Elephas maximus indicus: one gene and its partners. The protein of the gene in region 3 interacts with the protein of the main gene of each other region in a pairwise test. Links are inferred from orthologs where the notes say so. Each region holds a gene or a part of one and is shown on either strand. Other genes may lie near its edges.

What was found. The genes of interacting proteins can lie anywhere in the genome.
Region 1: the proteins of NGLY1 (region 3) and UBXN2B interact in binary tests that used the Homo sapiens proteins (3 or more experiments, as listed by UniProt). The two-hybrid records come from large-scale screens. The link is inferred for Elephas maximus indicus from reciprocal best matches to the Homo sapiens genes NGLY1 and UBXN2B.
Region 2: the proteins of NGLY1 (region 3) and GUCD1 interact in binary tests that used the Homo sapiens proteins (3 or more experiments, as listed by UniProt). The two-hybrid records come from large-scale screens. The link is inferred for Elephas maximus indicus from reciprocal best matches to the Homo sapiens genes NGLY1 and GUCD1.

What each region holds. Positions count from the first base shown.
Region 1 is NC_064837.1:73,906,802-73,910,548, reverse strand, and holds the start of UBXN2B (UBX domain-containing protein 2B), read left to right. Parts: upstream 1-924; 5' UTR 925-974; coding exon 975-1,058; exon of another isoform or gene 1,059-3,747. UniProt on the Homo sapiens protein: Adapter protein required for Golgi and endoplasmic reticulum biogenesis. Involved in Golgi and endoplasmic reticulum maintenance during interphase and in their reassembly at the end of mitosis.
Region 2 is NC_064840.1:23,014,070-23,017,816, forward strand, and holds the start of GUCD1 (protein GUCD1), read left to right. Parts: upstream 1-1,591; 5' UTR 1,592-1,635; coding exon 1,636-1,846; intron 1,847-2,224; exon of another isoform or gene 2,225-2,383; coding exon of another isoform or gene 2,384-2,426; intron 2,427-3,747.
Region 3 is NC_064845.1:13,770,902-13,774,648, reverse strand, and holds the start of NGLY1 (peptide-N(4)-(N-acetyl-beta-glucosaminyl)asparagine amidase), read right to left. Parts: upstream 2,863-3,747; 5' UTR 2,769-2,862; coding exon 2,638-2,768; intron 1-2,637. UniProt on the Homo sapiens protein: Specifically deglycosylates the denatured form of N-linked glycoproteins in the cytoplasm and assists their proteasome-mediated degradation. Cleaves the beta-aspartyl-glucosamine (GlcNAc) of the glycan and the amide side chain of Asn, converting Asn to Asp.

The sequences.
Region 1 (3,747 bases), on a different chromosome or scaffold from region 3:
CGTGGTTCCTTTTGGTTCGCTGTCTACTTGAAGTTCTTATCCTTCTTATAACAGCTAAAATGTCACTTTCTGTAAAGGGCATTTCTTTTTAAAGAAGATCTAGGAATTCATAGGGCAGAATGTTGTATAAATAAGAGTAACAGGTCAACAACATAAGCAAGGTTTAGTATCTGGTAATGACATTTACTACAGTGTGAACTTAGTCAATTATTTACCATGTGGTTTCTTTACGAATAACACGATGACAATAATTACTGGCAGCGGGATATATAACACATGTAATGCACCTAGCATGGTGCACATAGCAGGCACCAACAGAATATTCCCCTTCACACATTCTTTTCACAACCCTTCCTGCAAAGCTCGACTGGAAATCGCACTTTATTATTTGTTTACATCTCTCTGCTCCCAACCCTTGCATTCTCGGGGCGCAACAGTGCCTAGAATAAAAAAAAAAAAAAGGAGTTTAAATCTCGGTGGAATGAAGAGGGCTTAGGAGTCTCTAGTTCTGGTTGCAAAGAGCCTTTACGGTGCTCTCACCCTCAATTCTATGCTTTGGGGGTGATGGGCTTACCTGGATCTTGACCGGGAAGAGAACAAGGCTAGAAAGGTGGGGTTGCACGTTTCATCAGCTAAAACATTCAGGGAAGTTTTCATGGATGAGTTCACTGACCCTGCGAGCCTCTGCTGCCCCCCGGGGTCAGTAACTGCCCTCCGCGGCGGTTTACACCGGCTCAAGCCTCCGGCGGGGGGAACACGAAAGGAGAGGCTAACCCTAAATCGCCGCCAACTTGCCCCGGCGCGCGATGGGAGGGGGATTCGGCGGCCACACAGGGGCGCGGCGCGGCCAAGAGCGGATCCGCCCCCTCCTCCGCCGGCCTTGCTGCGTAGCTCCGCCCCCGCCGTTGCCCGGCAACCGTCCCGGAAATCCCGGGGAGGCGCGTCTGGGGGGGGTTGCCGACGGCCGGCGGAAGATGGCGGAGGGTGGCGGCGCGGAGCACGGCGAGCAGGCGAGACGGGCTTCTGTGCCGCGGCCCCCGAGCGCGCGGGACTTGCAGGTGCGGCGGGAGGCCGAGGGCAGGGACGGCGGGCGCGCGTCAAAGGCCGCCTCTGGCCTCGGCTGAGGTCCCCTCAGGCTCCTTGTGGGGGCAGAACCTGGCGCCGGCGCTGCGTCTCCCCGAGGCGTGCATCGCGCGGGGGTGGCTGTGGAGACAGGTGCCGGAATCCGTCTTCTACCGGTGTCTCCCTTCCCCTCCACCCCATTTTACAATTTGCTGAAACTAACAAGCAATTCAGTTTAGAATGGCGTTTTGTGGGGCCGTTTGTGCTGTCCTCCCCCCCCCGTTTGTGTTTCCGGTGATTTCGTGCGGAGGAAGTTTTTATTATCGACGTTGGGGAATCAACGGAGACTTCAAACGTGGGAGCCGGTGGGCAGGTCTGTCCGCTCTGGTCCTGGATGCGGTTTCTGACCTGATGACATGTGTATATAAATAATTCCTTTTTGTCATTTAGCTTTTATGTTTCAAGGGGGTGAATTAAACGTTTTCACCCTACAGTACAGCCTAGATTTTGAAGCTACAATCTGTAAAACATTCCGTATAAAGAGACGAAGAAATATAACTTTATAATGTTATAGGACACGTTTGTTAGCTAAATAGCAGTGCACCGAATACTGCTTTACGTGATGATTTTAGGTCTTTTTTCTATCTCCTTATGGGATCGTTGATAAAATTGAACAAGTGAAGGTCTGTAAGTAGCTATAATTTTAAAAAAAGGAGAATCCACAAGGCTCCATACTACAGTCCTATTACTTTATGGTCACACCTTCATTCCTCGTCTTTAAACAAACATATTGACCACCTTCCGTATAACAACATACTGTCTAACTCGGGCAATGCAAAGATAAGTAGGACATCGAATCCACAGTCAGTGCTGAACACTTTGGGCAAACAGAAGACGTCTAAAAGTTCTTTCTACCTTTTGAAAGCTTGCGAACTTTTTGGAGAAATGGGGTATGAATTCATTTAACATATTTTAGAATGGAGTATGATTGAATGCCAAAATAAGCAGTACATAAATGAGTAATTTGGTGAATGGAGAGATCAGTGTAAGGTTAGAGATGAACCAGATGTAAAACAGTTCCGGTGCCTGTAAGTTAACTGAGTAGTAGTAAACAGCATCAAGGAACAGGAAGCTGTCATCTACCTTATTTCTATTATAGACCTTCTCCCATTGTTGTCCAGTTGATTCCGACCCATGGCAACTTGATAGGACACAGTAGAGCTGCGCCATAGGGTTTCTAAGGCCGTAATTCTTGAGGAAGCAGACTGCCACATCTTTCTCCCACAGAACAGCTGATGGGGGCGACCTTTGGTTAGCAACAGAGCACTTAACCACTGCAAGGAGGGCTCCTTTCTGTTACAGGCATCACTAAAGAGGCAGCCTGGGGCCTTGGGAAAAAATGGGTGTGGTCAGAATGCACGTGCATTTTGGTCCCACCACTTAGTAGTTAAGTGTACTTAGGAAAATTTCTTAACCTTTCTGGTCCTCATTGTTCTCATTTATAAACTGGAGGTGCTGTTGATGGTAGTGGTGTAAGGATTAAATAAAGTAATATCTGTAAAGCGCCCGTGCGCAATCCCTGTATTATCCTAGCACAGTACTTGCTTGATAAATGTCTGGTTCCTTTTTTCCCTCAAGGGAAGAAAATGCTGTAACTTTCACAGGTTAGCACCACCAGTTGCCATCCAGTCTGTTCTGACTCATAGCAACCCTGTGTGTGTCAGAGTAGTTCAGTGCTCCATAGGGTTTCCAGTGGCTGATTTTTCAGAAGTAGATTGCCAGACCTTCCTTCTGAGGCACTCCTGGGTGGTCTCTGTGGTTAGTTACCATCCAGTCAGGTGGATTCTGACCCATGGAGACCTCATGGGTGCGGCGTAGAACTGCTCCATAGGGTTTTCAAATGCAGATCACTAGGCCTGTTCCCTGAGACTGCTCTAGGTGGGTTTAACCACAAACCTTTTGGCTAGTAGTCAAGCACTTAACTGTTTGCCCAACCCAGGGACTTGGGGTGGACTTTGGTGGATTCTAATACCATTAAAATTAAAATTAAAACTGGCAGTCAAGAAGTCAAATGACGCATTGCATTAGACAAATCTGCTATAAAAGACCTCTTTAAAGTGTTCAAAAACAAAGTCCTCACCTGGAAAGCTAAGGTGTGCCTGACCCAAGCCATGCTGTTGTCAGTTACCTCCTACGCATGTGAAAGCTGGACAGTGAATAAGGAGGACTGGAAGAGAATTGATGCCTTTCAGTTGTGGCCTTGGAGAAGAATGTGGTCTGCCAAAAGAATGAAAAAATCTGTCCTGGAAGAAATACAATCAGAATGCTCCTTAGAAGTAAGGATGGCAAGACTGTGTCTCTCATACTTTGGACATGTTATCAGGAGGGATCAGTTCCTGGAGAAGGACATACTGCTTGGTAAAGTAGGTCAGTGAAAAAGAGGACGGCACAGTGGCTGCAACAGTGGACTCAAGCATAACAACAATTGTGAGGATGACACAGGACCAGGCAGTGTTTCCTTCTGTTGTACATAGGGTCAGTGTGAGTCAGAACCAATTCCAGGGCACCTAACAACAACAATTTAATATCATTTTCTCTAATTTTAATTCATTTCTTCCTTTCATGTGAAAAATGAGAACAACTTGGTTAATGACTACCCGATACCAGGCAAATTGTTTACAAACT
Region 2 (3,747 bases), on a different chromosome or scaffold from region 3:
TAGCGACCCTACAGAACAGAGTAGAACTGCCCCATAGGGTTTCCAAGGAGCGTCTGGCAGGTTCAAACTGCCAACCCTTTGGTTAGCAGCCGTAGCACTTAACCACTACACCACCAGGGTCTGGCACTCCATAAAACTTAGCTGTATTTCCTGAGCTATTGAAAAAGGTGTTTAGCTCCTTTGGAAAAAACTATCTGGCAAACAGTGCAAGATGAGGGGTAGGGTGAAAAGTGGGGCTGGGCAGAAAAGGCTAAGGGGAATGAAGAGAGTGCCTCCCGTCTCCCTCCTCACTACCAGATCGCTTTATCTTCTCCAAATGACCATTAGCCAATATTACAGGAGGGAGGGGAGTGAATGCATGTACTGTACAAACGTACCTGCCAACTCACTGCTGTGGGCGACTGCACTTTGAGAACCTACGATACAGACCCAAGCTGCCCAATACAGTGGCCACAGTCCACATGTAGCTACTTAGAACTTTAAAAAGATGAAATACGACTAAAATTTCAGTTCCTCAGTCACATTAGCAATACTTCAAGTGCTCAAAACGCCACAGGTGCCTAGTGGTTACCACAGTGGACAACGCAGACCAAAAGATCCACCAACAAATTTAGGAGGAAGTTATGCTTTTAAGTCAATCTATTTAGTGTCCCATGGCACCCCATTTACATCACCACTGAAGCTAAAAAGAAAATATCGAAGAGTTCACAAAGTGACATGCTATAAGCAAAAAGGTTTATCTTATAGAAAAAAGCCAACCAGGGCAAGCACCTGACTGGACCTATTAAAAGAAAAAAGCATCAAACATTTTTAATCTGCAATGAACAAAGGCTGAAGACTAGAACAGAAAGGGATTCCAGGAGACTCAACGCTACCCCGGAAAGGGACCATGAAGTTGGAAAAGTTGGTTTCCTTTGGTGAGAATCCCTGAGTTCTAGCTTTAGGGGTTTGGATTTTATGCTGAAGACAGAGAGAACCACTGCAGAATCATGCGAAGAAATGACCCAATGAACACGTAGCAGCATTTAAAACTTCTGCAACAGCGTGGAAAGCAGGAGATGATCCGAAGTGAAAAAACCTTGAAAAGGAAGCTCCAAACAAGATTTGGGGTAAAGGAGGTAATCACTCAGAAACGATTCCAGTATTATTTTCTGGATACTGAAAAAAAAAAACAATGACATGGAGAGGTGTACAAAAAGGATAAATATGTAGTTTTGGAAGGAGCCAATAAACCCACTTCCAGGCGCGAGTGAGGTGACGCTACTGCCCCGGGCTTCTCCCTCTCCTCCCTCCCAGGGGCCCGCAGAACTTCAAGGCAGCGCGTCCTTCCCCAGCCCCGGCCCCTCACGGGAGCCTCGGCCTCCCGTCACCCGTCCCCGGCCTCTCCTCACCGGCTGCGGCCTCCTCTTCCACTTCTTCCGTGGACAAGCGACTTCAGCAGCACCGAAAGCGTGAGCGAGCGAATGGCGGTCCCGCGCTCCCAGAAGACCCCGCGTTCCCAGAATGCCGCGCGCGAGGCCAGCCCCCTTCCTTTCTCCGGTGGTGGGCGCTGTCTCGCCTCGGCTGCCTCCTCACCCAACCGGATGGGAAACGCGGGCTGTGGCACTATAGTTCCGGCCCCGAAAAAGCGTGCTGATGACAGGGCCTGGGTGCCGCCGGAAACACCGATACTCGGGCCGGCAAGGGGAAAGGGGAGCTCGCGCTTCCAGGCACCCCACACCAAGGCCGAGTTGGACGGCAAGGCGGAGATGCGGGGCCTGGGCTCTCGGATCGGGGGCGGCAGGCTGTGGGACTAAGCGCCAGGACCTGCCCTCGCAAGTTAGCCGTTGGAACCCGGCACCGCCCGGTAAGGAGCGCCCCGAGCGAGGCGAGGTATCCATTATATGGACAGGGAAACTGAGGTATAGAGTAGTCGGAGTAGGGTTGGGTCTCCTGGAGACCCGGCGGAACAAGGGGCAGGCCAGGGATTATACCTGAGGGAGGCCCACAGGGGCGGAGCCTGACTTAAGGGAGAGCGCCAGCCTTCGGGGCGGGGCTCCAAGAAAGGGGTGGGGCTTCCGGGGATCCGCGGGGACGGGCCTGTGCGTCGGCGCAAGGGCTAGGGAAAGGGGCGGGGTCAAGAGAAGGCGAGACAGCGAATGGCCGGGGCAGGCTTCGATCAGGCGGCTGGGGAACGGAAGGGACTGGGCCTCCAAGCCGGGGCCCAGGTGGGGGCGGGGCGTCCGGGGCCGCTGCCAGGCAGGGCTGGGGCGGGGCTCGGGGCCGCGGACCGTCGCCTTCTGTCCCCTCCGCGGACCAGACGCGCCGCCGCCGCGCTCCCGCCCCAGCCCGAGCGGTAGCCTGCGCCAGGTCGGGGCCATGGGCGCCCCGCGCCGCCCGGGTCATGAGGACGGAGGCGGAGGCAGCGGGACCGCCGCTCGAACCCGGTCAGTGCCTCCCCAGGGCCTAACCCTGGCCCCGGGGGACGAGGGTCCGGCCGCGCGACCTTGGGCGGACTGCCGCCTGGGCAGCGCTCTGGAGTTCGGACGGGACGGGGCCAGCTGGACACCCCGCCCCAGCCCCACTTGCCAGTCGGGGTTTCATTGTCCTCCCGGAGCTGAGGCCCCTGTCGCCCGGCCGTGGGGCGGGGTGGGGCCGGTCCCGGCTGTGAGGCGGGGCGCCACCTTGCCTAGAAGCGGGAAGTCCAGCCGGAGACGCGTGGAAGATGTGTCCCCTCGGGGAACTGTGGAGGACGCTGAGGCTCAGAGAAGGGCAGGGGACTGGGCGGGAGCACAGAGCGAGTGCGCCCCTTCTCTTCCCCTTCTCAGACTGTGGTCAGCTCTTTTCTTGCTACATGTCTTCACCCTTGGTTCCTTCTGCCCTAAGGGGGCCTTTTGGGGAAGCAGAGGCCACTACTGGTGGGGCAGTGCCGCGGCCTGAGTTTGCTTGTCTGAGAAGGGGATAGTGGGGGAGTGCGGTGGTTCCTGCTCTGCTGAGAAGAGGTGCCAACTCAGGGAGAGGCCAAAGCATATGGGACTGGCCCTGAGCTGTCATGGATGGTGTCCTCACACGAGGGAGGGGTCGCCTTTGTTATTGCAGGGTGGAGCAGGGGTCTGATGCTGCCGCAGAGTGTAGGCCCTGCTCTCCAGTTAGCTCAGCTACGCTCTTGGGCAGGACATTGCCTTTCCTGAGCCTGAGCGAGTCCCGGCTCATATTTATAGGGGGTTTCCTATGAGGTGGGAACTGTGCTGAGTGGTGTATGTGCAGTACCTCGTTAATCCTCATGATGACCTCATGAAGGAGGCTACTGCTGCTGTTATTCCCAGTTTTACAGATGAGCAGACTGAGGCTGAGAGGTGGTGAGCACCCAGGGCCACTGAGCGCCCTCCCTTCTCTGATGACAGCTGCCAGCTGATGCCAGGGCCCTCCAAGCAGGCCCAGCTCTTGGGGTGTTCCTTGGTGCCATGTATTAACATCTGGTAGTGGCTGTGGGCTTGAAGGGCTGAAGCTGTTATCAGGACAAAAACCAAGGTCTTGCCTGCCCTTATCATCCTTCCACCCACCACACGCAGAAAATCACCTCCAGCTTTCTATAGAGTGGCCTGCCTGGGCCAAGGCTGGGGACAGCCACCTGGGGTTTTGGCCCTTTGGGGCCTCAGGATCAAGGGTTCTGGAGCTCAGGGCATGAGGAGGAGGGGTAGCTAAGACTCCCAGGGCCCTAGAGAATGCTGCCAAGCATGGCCACAGGGGAGGTCTGGCCACAGATGG
Region 3 (3,747 bases):
TCTGTTTCACACTATTATTTACCTGTAACTCTTCCGTTATGCTTCTTTTGGACTCTAGAAAACACAAATGCTTTCTCTTAATCTGTTGTGTCAAATATAAGGTCTCCACTGGTCCATCGACTTCTCAAGGTCCAACCTTATCAAACCTGACCTGTGTTAGGTCCCACTGCTATCTCCTCACATAAATATAAATGTGCTTAAACACTGTCTTGGAATTGTTCTCTAGATTTTATGCTCTGGTTATTTTCCATACCTGTGCCTTTCTCTCAAATAGATGTATATTTTTTGAAGGAAGAAACCAGGTACTACTCTTGGCCCTTCCCAATCATACCCAGTTGTGAATCAATAATTGTGTGCACTTTGCAAAGGAAATTCGTGGAAAATCTAATGTATTGTTTAAAGAATGAATGCAGCAAATTACTGAAGGAACTCATGTGGAATGATAGAGAAATGCTGTTACAGGCTTTTGTGGAAGCGGGTATTATAGAGAACAGCTTGTCTCTGTAAGTCAATGGCCTGAAAAAGAGGTAAAAGATCCAAACTAACGGAATCTGGGGATTCAAATTAACACATATTTTATTCTGTAAGTTCATTAGATTTATGATTGGTATTTGGGGAGAAGGATAAACGTCACTTGAGGCAGACATTTTAAAAAACTTAATCAAAAGTAGTCTTTTCACTTGAAATTCAATGTGTACAGTGGCAAATATCACTGCTTAAAAAAAAAAAAAAAAAAACGAATAAAATTCATGTTTCAGCTCTTGCTCTCCCCTGAAGCAGGAGTGAGGGTCATCAAGATGAGAAGACATATAGTTCCTTGCCTCTAACACTAGTGGATTTCCCCAAACCACACACACAAAAAAAGCAACAGAAAAACCTGGATTTCTCCATTCTCAAATACTTTCAATTAGCAGATCTCTATTGTTGCTTGACTGGGGACCAAAAAAGAATCCGGAGCTTTTCCGTTTAGAGGTTAGGAAGACACTGGGTTTGGATAGGAAAGAAAAGATGGTTTTTCCTCCTGACGCCTGAAGGGATTTGAATTCTAAGAATTTGATGACAGGGGTACTACTATCTTAACTAAAAAGGACAGTTTCTTTTCATACCATCTTTTTTATAGGAGTTCCAGATGCCTAATTCCCTTTATAAATAAGAAGCAAACAAACAAACAAAAAAAGCAACAGGAAAGAAAAGCCTTTAAGAGGAGAAACCTAAGCCACAGTAAAGACTATAACTTGAACCTACAGCATGCCAAGTCTCTTCCAGGGGTTTGGTTAACATTCATAATGATGATTATGATGCCAAAAGTCATTATTTGCATGCAGAGGGTTTCCTTCCTCAAAGTACCTTGATCTCAGCATTTTTGGTTTCACAGAATCGAAACCTAGTGAGTCCTCACTACAAGGCCACCACCCTTTTCGGATTAACCCTGTGCCATTGAGTCCATTCTGATTCATAGTGACCCTGCAGGACAGAGAACTGCCCCCTAGGGTTTCTTGGTGTGGTTTAAATAGTTGGGTGGCTTTTCAGGCAGGAGGCCCAGCTGATGGGCTGTGAAAAACCCAGCCTCTCCAGTTCATTCATGCAGAGCCCACTGGCATCCTTCTGCTCTGAATAGCTCTAAGACCTCTCAGTGAGGTGAGTTGGGAAGGTATCACAGAGGAGGAAGGCGGTCCCTAGACAGGTCATGATTCTGTAGCTGTAAACAGTGCACATAGTGTACCCCTCAGAATATCTGGCACATAATAAGGGCTCAATGCAATTTCCCTAAACACCTTTAAAATCATTAACATTACCTAAATGAACAGTATTATTACTGCCATGGATTAAACACTGCACTTGTAACTAATGTCTCTAAAATTGGGTCACAGAAAATCTATAGCCTTGAAACGAAGAGCAACTCGTTTTTAGATTTCATGCCAACTTGCCTCCCCATTCCTAAAACGTCAGCTCTAGACGTGTACTTTTACTCACAGGTGAATGAAACAAATCACTCCTATCCTTCACCAATTCTTACTTATTTAGGGAGTCATACTGAAAAGTAGAATTCAGATATTGATGTGATAAGTGTAACTTTACAATAATATGGTTAATAATGTTTCAACCAACAAAAATGGCCAAAAAAAAAAAAAACTCTTAAAATTAAACACGAAACTTCAGTAGTATGCTTTAGGATATCTACGAAGCGTTGGGAAGAAAACACCAGGCTGTCAATGACTAACTTCTGATAAGCAGGTGTGTATTTAAGCCGCCCTGCTCCGAGGAGTCCACGTAGCGGACACGGAAGCGCAATTACTGTTCATATCTTGGCATTTAAGACAGTTAGTTAAACACCCGAGTGAGAAGCAAGTGCCTGGGCGCGCCCCGCCGCCTTGCCCCAACCGGGGACCTCCAGCGCACCCCGGTGCACTCCGATCTCAGGTGCCAAGTCACACATGCAAAGGGAACTTCCTCTTTTCGGGCACGATGGGGCCTGTGCGGTCCCGGGGCCCCGGCCTGCGGGCTCCTGCGCGGCGCCACCCCCAGGCCAGGTCCCCCCGGTCCCCGCCGCCCTCCGAGACCGGGTCGGGCGCCCCCAGACCCGCGCCGAGCGGGCGCCGCGCCCCGGCCGCCCCGGCGCTCCCGCCCGCCGCGCACCTGAGGATGTTGTCCGCGTAGGTGAGCAGCAGCTTGGAGGCCTCCAGAAAGGTCTCCGGGCTGTTCTGGCAGAGCTCAGCCACGGCCGGGGACGGGGAGCCCGAGGAGCTGCCCAGGGCCGCAGCCGCCATGCTGGAGCAGCCGCGGCGACACCGCCCCTCGCGCGCCGCGTCCGGCAACTGAGCAGGCGCCTCGGGGCGCGGCAGCCACTGCAGCCGGCGGGGGGCGTCGCTGGGGGTGGGGTGGGGTCGGCGGTCGGGGGCGGGGGCGGGGGCCGGTCAGGGGGCGGGGCCTCGGTCAGGGGCGGGGCCTCGGCCAGGGGCGGGGCCTCGGTCAGGCGGGGAGGAGGACGCTGGCCGTGAGGGACAGGGATGCCCAGGTGCTGGCCTGTCCTTCGAAGAAACACCGGTTTCTGGGAGCCTTAAGGACCGTCTGAATTCATCCAGACACGCGGGTGAGAAAACCCCGTTTATCTCCACCCAGCCTCGCCCAATGAAACAGTCTTCCAGCCTCTTGCTAGCAGATTGTCAGCCCCTACTTGATAGACATGGATGAAAGCCCCCGGAGGGAAGGAACCACAGACGTTCACAGTCAAACTCATGTTTCTGTTTTCCAATACAATGGTTCCTTTTAGAATTAGGCGAGTGATTGAAAATTTCTTACATATATCCCTGCTCAGACAGTATGATAATGCTGTATGAGAGAGCTTTTCAAACGGCTATGACCCATTAGTAGGTTGTAGACTCCACTTACTGTGTGGTGAGCGGCATAAAAAGCACACACAACAGCAAAATAGCATAGGATGGAGATGGGGAAGGAAGAGAATAAAATTATGCATCCCACCCACTAAGGGTAAATATTGTTTTGTGACTTTTGTTTCGCAAATAAATCATGTGCCATTTAGCCCTGGTAGAATTCGCACCCTTAACCTCTTTAATCCAGCATCTGCCCCATCGCGCCATGGAGAGTGTGTTTATCAGTATTAAAAATGGCTTCCTTAATTGCAGAAATTTCTTTCTAAACCTCAGCAAATATTTTTCCTGACCTTATGTGTGTTCTTTTTTTCTTGAAAACTTTGTTTAATGGAAAACTTTTCAGACACAAAGAACC